Coturnix japonica: one gene and its partners. The protein of the gene in region 2 binds, or shares a complex with, the protein of the main gene of each other region. Links are inferred from orthologs where the notes say so. Each region holds a gene or a part of one and is shown on either strand. Other genes may lie near its edges.

Region 1 (3,822 bases), on a different chromosome or scaffold from region 2:
TGCTGGGCTCCCCAGTTCCAGGCAGACAGGGAACTGCTGCTGGAGAGAGACCATTTCTCAGCTCAGCCCTTCCTTATTTCTATATCCCTCCCAGCCACTTCCTAACTCTGTCCAAAGGCTCCTGCCGGGCTTTAAGCCTCACTTGAAGTTGCTGCATCTGAACAATACGGAGCAGATAAGTTCCACCGCTTCTCCTCACCATGAATATTTCATCAGGCAGCCAGGCGCCAAGGCTGTGTTGGAGGTGGCATTACATTAACTGCACGGACACACGGATGCTGAGACAACAGCTAATGGCTGTGCTCACGGCATCGTGTTTTCTATCGAGGTCAAGAAACACTGAATTTGGTGGAAAAGATGCCAACAACTCCCCACTTTTCTCCTCAGTCAACAATGCCATGCACTGTACAGGACAGCTTCCTAAATGGCCTGTGATTATCATTAATTGCTTAATTAATACTTGCGGTGTGGCTGCTCTCTTGGATTTTATTCATGGATTAATGCAGGCTGGATGCAGGTCCCTCTGCTCTATGAGCAACCACACGGATGAGTGCCCTGGGGACAAGGAAAGTAATGCTAATACTTGCAAAAAGCGGCCTTTAATTCAGCGCTGTGCCTTCTACTGAGGGAGGGAGGAATCCTCCTCCAAGCATCCCCAGCCCTAAGCAAAGCAGCCCCAAACACGAGCACAGAGCACCTGTAAGAACAGGGGACCCCCACCCCAACTCAGTCACAGCATCGAGGCTTAATGAGCACCATCCTCCAGCACCTTGCACCCTCAAAACACTTTCCTATGGTCCATGCATGTCCCCAGGACGCAGCCCCTTCCCACACATCCCCCCCTGCAAATACCCCATCCCATCCATGGTCTCTGAAACCCCCAAACCCAACACCATCCCATAGCCCTCTCCAAGTCCTCTACCCCCACCCACAGCCCTCCCCACGCTCTACACCCCCCACCCCCACCCCAGAACCTTGCCATACTCCCCCAGGCCCCTATTCCCCCACAGTAGTGAACCTTAAACCCACCCACGACCCCCTCCCCACCCACTACTTCCCACCCCCCGCAGTTCCTCCCGCCGGCAGGGGGCGCTCTCTGCAGCCGTTGCCGCTCTAGGCCGCTGTCCGCGCTCTCTCTATGTCAGAGCTCCGGTTCCGGCCCGCTCCTCTTTGTGCTGGACAAGATGGCGGCGCGGGCGGGCTTCCAGTCAGTGACTCCCAGCGGTGGAGGCGGCGGGGCCGCTACCGGGACCGGAGCGCTGGGTCCGGGCACACCAGGCGGACCGGTGCGCATGGGCCCAGCCCCGGGACAGGGCTTGTACCGCTCACCTCTACCAGGGGCCGCCTACCCGGTGAGGCAGGGGAGGGGCCGCTGCGGGGCGGGGCGGGAGGGAGTGGGGGCGGCGGGGCCGAGGACGGGGCCGGCTTCCCCCCGGGTGGGCATTGGAACGGCTTTTTTCTTCCCCTTGCAGCGCCCTGGGATGTTACCGGGCAGCCGTTTGGCACCGCAAGGCCCCTCTATGGGGCCGCCCGGGTACGGTGGGAGCCCGGCAGTGAGGCCCGGTATGGCGCAGGCCGGCCTGGATCAGGCCCGTAAGAGACCAGCGCCGCAGCAACTGCAGCAGGTTCAGCCTCAGGCGGTGCCCAACCGCAACCACAAGTAAGAACCGGGGGTGCTGGGGGGCTCAGGGAATAGACGGTGCGGGGGGGGGGGGGGGGGATCAGGGCATCCTTGGCCATCCTTAGAGCTGTGAGTGGGGGGAGGAGCTCGGGTCATTCATAGGATAACTATGGGGTAGAAAGGCTCTGGGGACATCGTTGGGTGTCCTCTTGGCAACAGGGGGGTTCTCAGGGCAATGGGTGTCCAAAGGATGCTGCCAGGGCAGTGGGAGGCTTAGGATATCCTTGGGTATCCTTGAAATAGGAAGGGTTCCTGGAGCAGATGAGGGTCCCAGATCTTCCCTGTGCTCCTCCAGGGCAGGGGAGGGAACAGTGAAGGTCTCAAAATGTCCCTTGGGCATCCTCAGAGCAGCAGGGGTCCTGAGGACATCCCTGGGATGGCAGATGAGTCTTGGGCATATCCTTGGGCATTCCTATGGCAACAGGGTTCCTCAGGACACCCCGAGGGCAAAGAGGAGTCTCAGGGCATCCTTGGGTCCAAGGGGTCTTCGAGGTATCTCTGTGCATCACCAGAGCATTGAGGGTGCTCAGGGCATCCCCAGGTGGACGTGGACACATTGCTTCTCTCCTCATGAAGCCCCATGGGACGAGATCTGTGTATCAGGGTGAGGGCAGGCATCACTGAGCTGCAGGCTCTCTCTGAAGGGGTCAGCACTGACTTGGTGTCATCTGCTGGCTGCTCAGAGCAGCACAAAGCTTTTCTGTGTGCAGAGCCAGGCCTGGGCCTCTCATTGCTGCTTTTTTTTTGTTGGGTGGCTGAAAGAAACTTTGATGTTCTCGTGCAGCTTCGTCTCTGGTAGAGGGGAATTTCCAGCAGATAAAAAAGTAATGTGCAACTGCTGGACAAGAGCAAGTTAATGTTCAGTTTCTGATAGTACAATGTGATGCCTTGGTAACGTTGGTAATGCATCTCTGAGTCTCCTAGAAAAGTCTGTCTAAAGCACATTGAGCCATAAGGCTTCCTTTCCAATGATGCAGCCTTGCTTTCATTGCTTTCCTTGGGGATGTATTAAGGCGATCAGCTGCTGCAGGGCTGAGAGCATTGCTGATGCCCTGGTCCTAAAACACAAACCTCATCTCGCTCCTTTTGTGAACGTCCAGTGTTAATTAGCAGAATGGTTGCCATTTTAATGCTCTCCTTACTTTACAGTGCTAAAAAGAAGAAGATGGCAGACAAAATTCTACCTCAGAGGGTGAGTGGCATGTGCAGTTGACAGCCTCTGCTGATATGGAGATGTGGGGGAACTGACAGTGATTTGCATTCTTGATTGGCTCGTGTTCTGCTTGTAGATCCGTGAACTTGTGCCTGAGTCTCAAGCTTATATGGACCTGCTGGCCTTTGAAAGGAAATTGGACCAGACGATCATGAGGAAACGCTTGGATATCCAGGAGGCTTTGAAACGACCCATTAAGGTAGGAGAGGGACATTCAGAGACTTACTGTTATCAGAAGAGTAGGAGGGCTTTGAAGGTTGTGTCATAACCCTATAAGCATAGAGAGAACTGTAATGCCCAGGACTTAAGTGGGGGGGTAGAACCAAGACTGCCTCTCTCTGTGCTGTTTGTCCTGAGAGTGGATGTATGAGGAAAAGAAGAATATTTAGCTTAGTTTTAACAAAACATAAGCATGATTCTCATCCCTTTGCTTCTGAATGAATACTGAGCTGATGCTTTTTCTTGTAGCAAAAGCGAAAGCTACGTATTTTTATCTCCAATACCTTCAATCCAGCCAAGTCGGATGCAGAGGATGGTGAAGGAACAGTGGCCTCCTGGGAGCTTCGAGTAGAAGGAAGGCTGCTAGAAGATGTGAGTGTAAGGCACCCAACTGCAGAGCTGATTTGATGGGTCTGGAATTGGAAATTGAACCAGTTTCTTAGTGTCTGGGAGTGTAGCTAAGGGCTTGATATCCTCCTTCATCTCTGTTTTCCAAGGAGTCTGATGGTGACGAGACCGAGAGCCCAACTCGGAGACCGATGGGTATCCCCATGGCAGAACATGAGTTATACAAAGTTCTTATAGCTATAAGAATTAATGGTGAGAGCCGATCAGTAGCACTTGTGTACCCTGGCTCTTAGAACCAGGGCACTCGCATTTTATGTAATTGCTGAGTAAGTTAATTCCTCCAAGCTCATCTTTATCTCCA
Region 2 (3,722 bases):
TGATTTGGCTTAGAGAAGTTCTAATGGTACAAATCTGTTTGTAGAGCTAGATGCGTAGCTAAAAATTACCTGTCCTGATAATATGAATTCTGTGGTGAGACAGCATCTAAAGGCTGTGCCAGCATTATAACTGCAAGTGTTTTGGCTTCTGGCATCGTATTCAACTGTCACTGGCCCTTTGGTCTCTGAATGTTTGATGCAGGCTCGTTGTTTGGCTTTTCCAGATCTTTTCCACAAATGTTAGTTGCTTAAGTTCTGTGACTGTAAGATTCAAAGTAAGGGGTGGTCATAACAGTACTGGGTGGCATTTCCTCATATGAGAACAGGAGAAAATAAATGTATAATGTCAGTCCGAAAGTATGTAGATGTCACCCAGAGAAAATAAACAAGCAGACAAACTAAAAAACACTCTGAAAATAACAAAAAGTCCCCAAAATTTGCCAGTACCTGTAATGCTAAGTTTTTTTTTTTTTTCCTTGTTTAAAACAGGAAATTGGATATGTTCTTGGTAGCTAGGACTACCAGCAGCAACTGTAAAATGTCCCTTGGCTATTGCTGAAAGAGTTGTTATCTCAGTGGGTAATGCAGGCACCCTACTAGCAATGACTGTAAAATATGCCTCAGTTGGTGCTGGCACAGTTCTGTTAGGGGTTCCTGTGAACAGTTGTTGCTTAAGACACGTGTCCAGTGGCACCTCTGGGTACTTTGCTCACTGTCTGCTCCCTTCCCTGGGTGACCAGGTTACTTGCAGAGGAATCCTCAGATGCCCCAGTACAGCTCTCCCCAGCCCGGCTCAGCCTTATCTCCCCGTCAGTCTTCTGGAGGACAGATGCATGCCGGAATGGGGTCATACCAGCAGAACTCCATGGGAAGCTATGGACCCCAGGCTGGGCAGTACGGACCTCAAGGTGAGGCATGAGAAGCTTCTCAAGGGGGAACCAAGCACAGAGAATGGGAAAGGCCTCTGTTGGTGGCAACACCTTGTCTTTGGAGAATGTGTTTTGAGTGGTGTCCTCTTAATCCATGGGTGATTCAAAACAGTCCACTCCCTATGGGGTGGTTCAGCTTGTGCTTTGAGTACTGTACTGAGATTCATGAAAGATGTTATTTGAGTGCTAGCTGGACTTGCAAATGTAGGATCTCCCCTCTCTTAGAAGGATATAGGCAGCACCTCCAGTGTGCTAGAGAAAAGCCAGTTAACTTCAGAGGGGAAGGAAATTGTGTGCTATGTGTTTTGGAAAGGGTTAAGTGAATTTATTTACATCCTGTCTTGGACCGTTTAGCTCAGTGTGGTTGGCTGAGGTTTGGGGGAGCATCAGTCAGCTTTAGAATCAATGTTGTATCTTAGCTGTGTCAAAACACATGTTTCATGGCTTCTATCCAAGTGCTTTGACTTTTTGTAGAGGTGTTAAGACACCCCCTCATCTCCGTTAGTGATCTTTAAATATTTGCTGATAGAAGATTTGTATGGTGATTCATGAACTAAGTAGTTGAACAATGTTGTCTTCCCCCTGTTTTATCTCTTCAGGAGGTTATCCCAGGCAGCCAAACTACAATGCTCTGTCCAATGCCAACTATCCCAGTCCTGGGATGGGAGGAAGCATGAACCCAATGGCAGCAGGGAGCCAGATGCATGGGCAGACTGGTGTGCCTCCATACAGTGGGCTTCCTCCTGGGAGGATGAGCCACGCAGCCATGGGGAACAGACCTTATGGACCTAACATGGCAAATATGCCTCCTCAGGTGGGGACAGGAATGTGCCCCCCACCAGGGAGCATGAATCGCAAAGCACAAGAAGCAGCTGCTGCTGCCATGCATGCTGCTGCTAACTCCATCCAGAACAGGTGAGGCATGAAAATGCTGTTGGTCTGAACACATTCAATACATTCCCTGTGTTGTCTCTAGGTTTGAAAGCCATGCATGCAGTTACCCAAAGTTGGGGTGATAGAGAACACAAGTAACACATGCTTCCTTAGAGATTTACCTTTTTGAAGTCTTCTTCCTCTATCTTAGCTGCTTCTTTTCTTTTCTTTTTTCTTTTCTTTTTTTTTCAAAGCTTGAATAAGTAGTGTAATTTAATATGTTGTTAATGACCTGCTTAGGGAATTTTTAATGCTGATGGATGAAATCTGTTTAACTTGGTGTTTTCATAGGTTGTTTTGGCTTTCTGGTCTTCTCTGTGGTGTGGGTGATTTTAAAACTGCTGTGTGTGTGGTAAAGCCCATAAATCTAGCATGCAGCATCCATCTATCCAGATGCATTTGTCTGGACCAAGGCATTGCTTTTCCACTGTGTCAAACTTCCTTTTAGGTCTTTGATGGGCGACTATGGGAAATGAGCTGGAATTCAGCGCTGAACTTCACAGCTGTTTCCTGTGTTTTATTTTGCTTTAATTGCGCATTTCAGAGCAGTTGTTACGTGGCCTACCAGAATGCCACGAGAGCCACAAACTTGCTTATAAATTAGGTTCCCCCAGTGAAGCTGTTAGATTTACATGCATTTGTGGTCTGACGTGGCATTGTACTCTTTATCCTGTTTTATCTTACTCGTTATCCTGCTTTAAAGCTTATTTCTGCAATCTTCTGTCTGATACTGCTAAGAGGTCAATCAAGGCATCAAAGTGTATCCTTTCGATTAATGTGTCTGAGGGAAAGTTGTGTGTGGGGTTTTCTGACACATGTGCAGTCATGTACCTTCTGTGAATGTAAAAAAGTAAAGAGAGGAAAGCCATTAAATACGGGGAGTGCTGTGCTGTGCATCTGTAGAAATGCTTAAATGCTGCAGTATTTGTAGATGAGTTCTTTCCTGTGAAGGTGACTTAGGACCTGAAACCAAGTTCAGTTTGGGGATGAAGATAAGAGGTCAGACTGTTGGGTGCTGAAGTCTGTCTTTCCTAATGGGTTGCGTCTCCTTTGCTTTTGAGTTGTGCTTTTGAGTCTTAGGTTTTGCAGTGGGTAAGCTTTCAAAGAGCAACAGACCTTTTGTAGTAGAAGGTTTCTTCTAGTCAGTCTGTTTTGTTAGCAGGTGCAATGTGAATACTTTGTATTTGGAGTAAATGTCTGTTTCTTCCTTGCCTTTTCTAGGCCTCCTGGTTACCCCAGCATGAACCAAGGGGGAATGATGGGCACTGGACCTCCTTATGGACAGGGAATTAACAGCATGGCTGGCATGATCAACCCCCAGGGCCCACCTTATCCCATGGGTGGAAATATGGCTAATAACTCTGCAGGTAAGGCACTGCTGAGTGCTGGGCATTGGGTGACTTAATGGGTCTGGAATGAAAAGCATTGTCATAGATTCTTGTAACTTCCTAGGGATGGCAGCAAGTCCTGAAATGATGGGTCTTGCGGATGTGAAATTAACTCCTGCGACAAAAATGAACAATAAGGCTGATGGGACCCCAAAAGCAGAATCCAAGTCAAAGGTAAAACTTTTTTTAAGCGGTGTGTGTGTGTGTATGTGTATATATATACACACATAAATATATATATATTTAACGACACAGCATATTGTATCTACTCCCAAGAGAAACCCAATGTGAATTGCCATCTACCATGAGCAGACTGGCCATTACTGTGGCTGTTTATGCAGTATGTGATGTTGCTGCTGTGTGAGCATGGTTTTAACTCTGCAGTGTGGCAGTGAGCGAGGTACCCTCTGCTGGGATGTATTATCTTTTGGATAGTGGCGTATGCTGGCATCTCCTGTTAGGTATGAGCAAA
Region 3 (3,600 bases), on a different chromosome or scaffold from region 2:
ATGAACAGCTTTCCCTGGGAGCTCTGCCCAGGCACCAGCTCCAGTCTGCAATTCCATGCCAAGTTATCTGACATCTAAGAACTTCTGAACATGTGTTTCCCCTTTTCCATCTCCTTACCAGATTCTCAGTACTGGATTTATGACGGCGAGAGACGAGTCTCTGGTCCCACACCAACTGTAGAGCTGGGCCTCCCTGCTTCTCCCGTGCAGGCAGCTCTGGTATGGGGGACAGAGAAGAACAAGATTTACATCTTCAGTGGAGGCAACTACTGGCGCTTCAACCCTCGCACACGCCAGGTGGACAACATCTACCCCCGGACCATGGCTGACTGGCGAGGCGTCCCACAGGAGATTGATGCTGCTTTTCAGGATGAGCTGGGTCAGTGCAGCAGGGACAGGCCCTGCTCTGGGGCACGTGCTCAGGGTGATGCTACTTCCCACCAGACCCAGCTGTTACCACTCCCAATAGTGACAAGCCCAGCAGCTCTGCCTGCAGTTCAGCCCAGGCAGCAGTGCTGAACTGCTTTCAGTAGTACCTAGTGCAGACAGCTGAGTGAAGGCTGGCTCACTTACTCCTCCCTCTCTCCTCCACAGGTTTTGCCTATTTCCTGAGAGGCCGAGACTACTGGAAGTTTGACCCGGTGCAGGTGAAGGTTCTGGAAGGTTACCCCCGTCAGATCAGCCAGGACTTCTTCAGCTGCACACCGTCCTCCAACTCCTTCCGATGAAGGAGCATCCCCTACTTTTCCCTTCCAGCCCTGACCTCCAGCAGACACTGAGGGCTCTGCTGCCATCCCTGGCTCCTTCCAGGCGCAGACTGACACAACAGACGTGTCACAACAAGTGACAAAGTTTGCTCCTCTCCCGTTCCAGCAGCAGCCCCAGCTTTGGTCCCTGTACAGAAGCATCTGCCACATTCCTTACAGACACGAGCAGCCTTAATGTGGCCGGGCTGTTGTAGCTCTATCATCCCAAAGCCATCAGGCCTTGGAACGGGACCCCCCCCATAACACCGACCCGCCGCCATCACCCCCCGCGCTGTGAGGCCGCAGCCCCTCAGCCTGCCCCATCCCAGTGCTGGACACTGCCCATCCGCACGGTGCTCCCGGGTACAGAACCAAACCCGTGGGCGTCAACTTTTGTACGACGCGTATCAACTCTTTTTATATCTATATCTATATATACTGTGTATATACGTATCGATGTACCAATAAAGCGCCTCTTTTCTACCCGCCGCCCGACTCACTTCAGCGCCGGGTGGGCGGGAACGAGCGGGCGGGGCGGTGCCCTGCGCATGCGCAGAGCAGCAGCGGAGTAGGCCGAGGCGCTGCCGTTGTCGCTGCGCCCCGGTTCCCTCAGCGCCGCCGGATCCCGCCGGGCCGCAGCGATGATGATGATGGCGCTGAGCAAAACCTTCGGGCAGAAGCCCGTTAAGTTCCAGCTGGAGGAGGACGGAGAATTCTATATGATCGGCTCCGAGGTACGGACAATGGCGGCGGCCCGGGGAGGGGGGGAGGCGGCGAGGCGAGGCTGTGGGGTGGGCAGCGCTGTGTGGGAGCAGAAGGGCTTTGGTGCTGTGATACTGTGGGGATTGTGCTGTTAAAAGGAGCCATAACTGCAGGTTATCTGGCTATATGTGCCACACAGGGTACGTGGAGGAGGAGGGATCGCCTTCCAGCCCCCCGCTATAAAGTTACAATTAAAAATGGTCTGAAAGATGTTAAGGTCAAAATAAGGCCTGTGTGACAGGGAATGTGAGCCCCTTTGTGAACTATACACACTCTACAAGTACAGCAGCAGTTAAAAAACCTGGTCGCAGAGCCTAGAATTCATTGTGTTGTCCAGCGAACCCTGCTGGAGCCTGCACTGCTGTGTTGCATTGTGCTGAGAAGAGCAGAGCTGCTGTGCTGCTGGTCAGCGGGTTTGGAGAGGCACAGATCGCATCCTGCGTGTTCCAAGGGCTTAAAGTAGAGCACAAGGCAGCGCTGTGTGTGTCTGAGCCATCCACTCTTGGAAAGCAGTCCTGACAATAGCAGGACATGGGGAAATGGTTTTAAGTTGAAAGAGGGAAGATTTAGGTTGGATGTTAGGGGGAAGTTCTTCACTAGGAGAGTGGTTAGGCCCTGGAACAGGCTGCCCAGGGAGGTTGTGGATGCCCCGTCCTTGGAGGTGTTCAAGGCCAGGCTGGACGGGGCCCTGGGCAACCTGATCTAGTAAAGGTGTATGTTTGGTGGCCCTGCCAGGCAGGGGGTTGGAACTACATGATCCTTGAGGTCCCTTCCAACCCCGGGTCATTCTGTGATTCTGTGATCCCAGCGGTGTCTGGTGAAAGGGATGCTGCTGGAGAGCTGGGTGTGCAGCTCCATTAAATCCTTCCTGGACACTGTGCTGATGTAGCAAAGTCCCAAAAATAAACAAAAACTGATTTCTGTCAATGAGCTGGAGTTTCTTAGCAAACTAGTGAAATAAGTGCTGATAAGAGCTATGTATTGTGCCAAAAATTGTGCTTTATGATGCCAAACCTGATACAGTGAATTGTGAAAAGCAACAAAAAAAATCCTCTTAGGAGGTTATTTATGAGGTCACTGTTATTGTTTCATTATTGAAAATTTGTTTCAGTTTTTGATAATTCGTTTCTTTAAATGGAATACGTTTCCAGGTCACATCTTTGCTTTTCTTCTTATAGGTGGGGAATTACCTGCGTATGTTCCGGGGCTCTCTGTACAAGAGGTATCCCTCGCTCTGGAGACGATTAGCCACAGTAGAAGAAAGGAAGAAGATAGTGGCATCTTCACATGGTAAGAAGATGAGGAAATGCTCCCAGTCTAAATGTCTGCCTTGAAGAACTGTCTCTGTAGGCTCAGAAGCTTGTGTACCTTTAGGGCTTTGTGACAGCGTTCTGCAAAATGTGGCTGTCCTGGAGTTGGCTGCATTTATCACAATGCAAAAGACACACCTCAAGTTAAATACCATATTCCAGAAGAGATTTCTAGTAGCAAAGAGGGGTGGTTCTGTCCCTTAACACATTGAAAGGATGCTCATGTTCTTTATATGTTTATGACTCCCAGAATTTGCAGTGTGTTTCTACTGATGTTACCACCACAGTGAGAATGCAGCCACCTTGGTATTATTTTTGATGGGAGACTAATATTAAGAACTTATATTCATTAGCAGTGCAACTTGTCATGTGTTCCTCAGGCTAAGGCATAATAAAGATACGTGGTTCATTCTATACTTAAGCCTCCTTCCTCTAATATCCTGCTGACCTGTTGCTGATTTCTTTCTTTCCCAACAGAAAATCAGCGGTCTCACAGTCCAAGAAGATGTAAGTCTGATTTGTGTGTTATGCTTAGCTGTGCTACAGGAATAATCTCTGCCATGACCTTTGGCGTTATTACAGCATATAATAACATCTCATCCTCTGATCTCTCCCTGTGGTCATCCCATTGTGCATCCTCATCACATGCTGAACTTTTCTTTCTCAGAACATTAATGGTCTGTGCAATTCAGTAAGATCTGTCCAGTGGTTCTTCCCTTTTTCCAGGTCTTAAGAGTTTGTACTCCCTGGCTTAGCTTTCATTAGTATCTGATGTGTCTGCT

What was found.
Region 1: ARID1A (region 2) and SMARCD1 share a complex: the UniProt entries of both Homo sapiens proteins name them as parts of the neuron-specific chromatin remodeling complex. The link is inferred for Coturnix japonica from reciprocal best matches to the Homo sapiens genes ARID1A and SMARCD1.
Region 3: ARID1A (region 2) and SMARCB1 share a complex: the UniProt entries of both Homo sapiens proteins name them as parts of the neuron-specific chromatin remodeling complex. The link is inferred for Coturnix japonica from reciprocal best matches to the Homo sapiens genes ARID1A and SMARCB1.

Annotation. Positions count from the first base shown.
Region 1 is NC_029544.1:348,116-351,937, reverse strand, and holds the start of SMARCD1 (SWI/SNF-related matrix-associated actin-dependent regulator of chromatin subfamily D member 1), read left to right. Parts: upstream 1-1,148; 5' UTR 1,149-1,184; coding exon 1,185-1,352; intron 1,353-1,472; coding exon 1,473-1,660; intron 1,661-2,830; coding exon 2,831-2,873; intron 2,874-2,970; coding exon 2,971-3,093; intron 3,094-3,362; coding exon 3,363-3,491; intron 3,492-3,822. UniProt on the Homo sapiens protein: Involved in transcriptional activation and repression of select genes by chromatin remodeling (alteration of DNA-nucleosome topology).
Region 2 is NC_029538.1:59,914-63,635, reverse strand, and holds part of ARID1A (AT-rich interactive domain-containing protein 1A), read left to right. Parts: intron 1-740; coding exon 741-908; intron 909-1,528; coding exon 1,529-1,844; intron 1,845-3,083; coding exon 3,084-3,229; intron 3,230-3,314; coding exon 3,315-3,424; intron 3,425-3,722. UniProt on the Homo sapiens protein: Involved in transcriptional activation and repression of select genes by chromatin remodeling (alteration of DNA-nucleosome topology).
Region 3 is NC_029530.1:7,048,783-7,052,382, forward strand, and holds the start of SMARCB1 (SWI/SNF-related matrix-associated actin-dependent regulator of chromatin subfamily B member 1), read left to right. Parts: upstream 1-1,280; 5' UTR 1,281-1,387; coding exon 1,388-1,480; intron 1,481-2,686; coding exon 2,687-2,798; intron 2,799-3,295; coding exon 3,296-3,325; intron 3,326-3,600. Other genes in the region: MMP11 (stromelysin-3), read left to right, coding at 122-379, 595-728.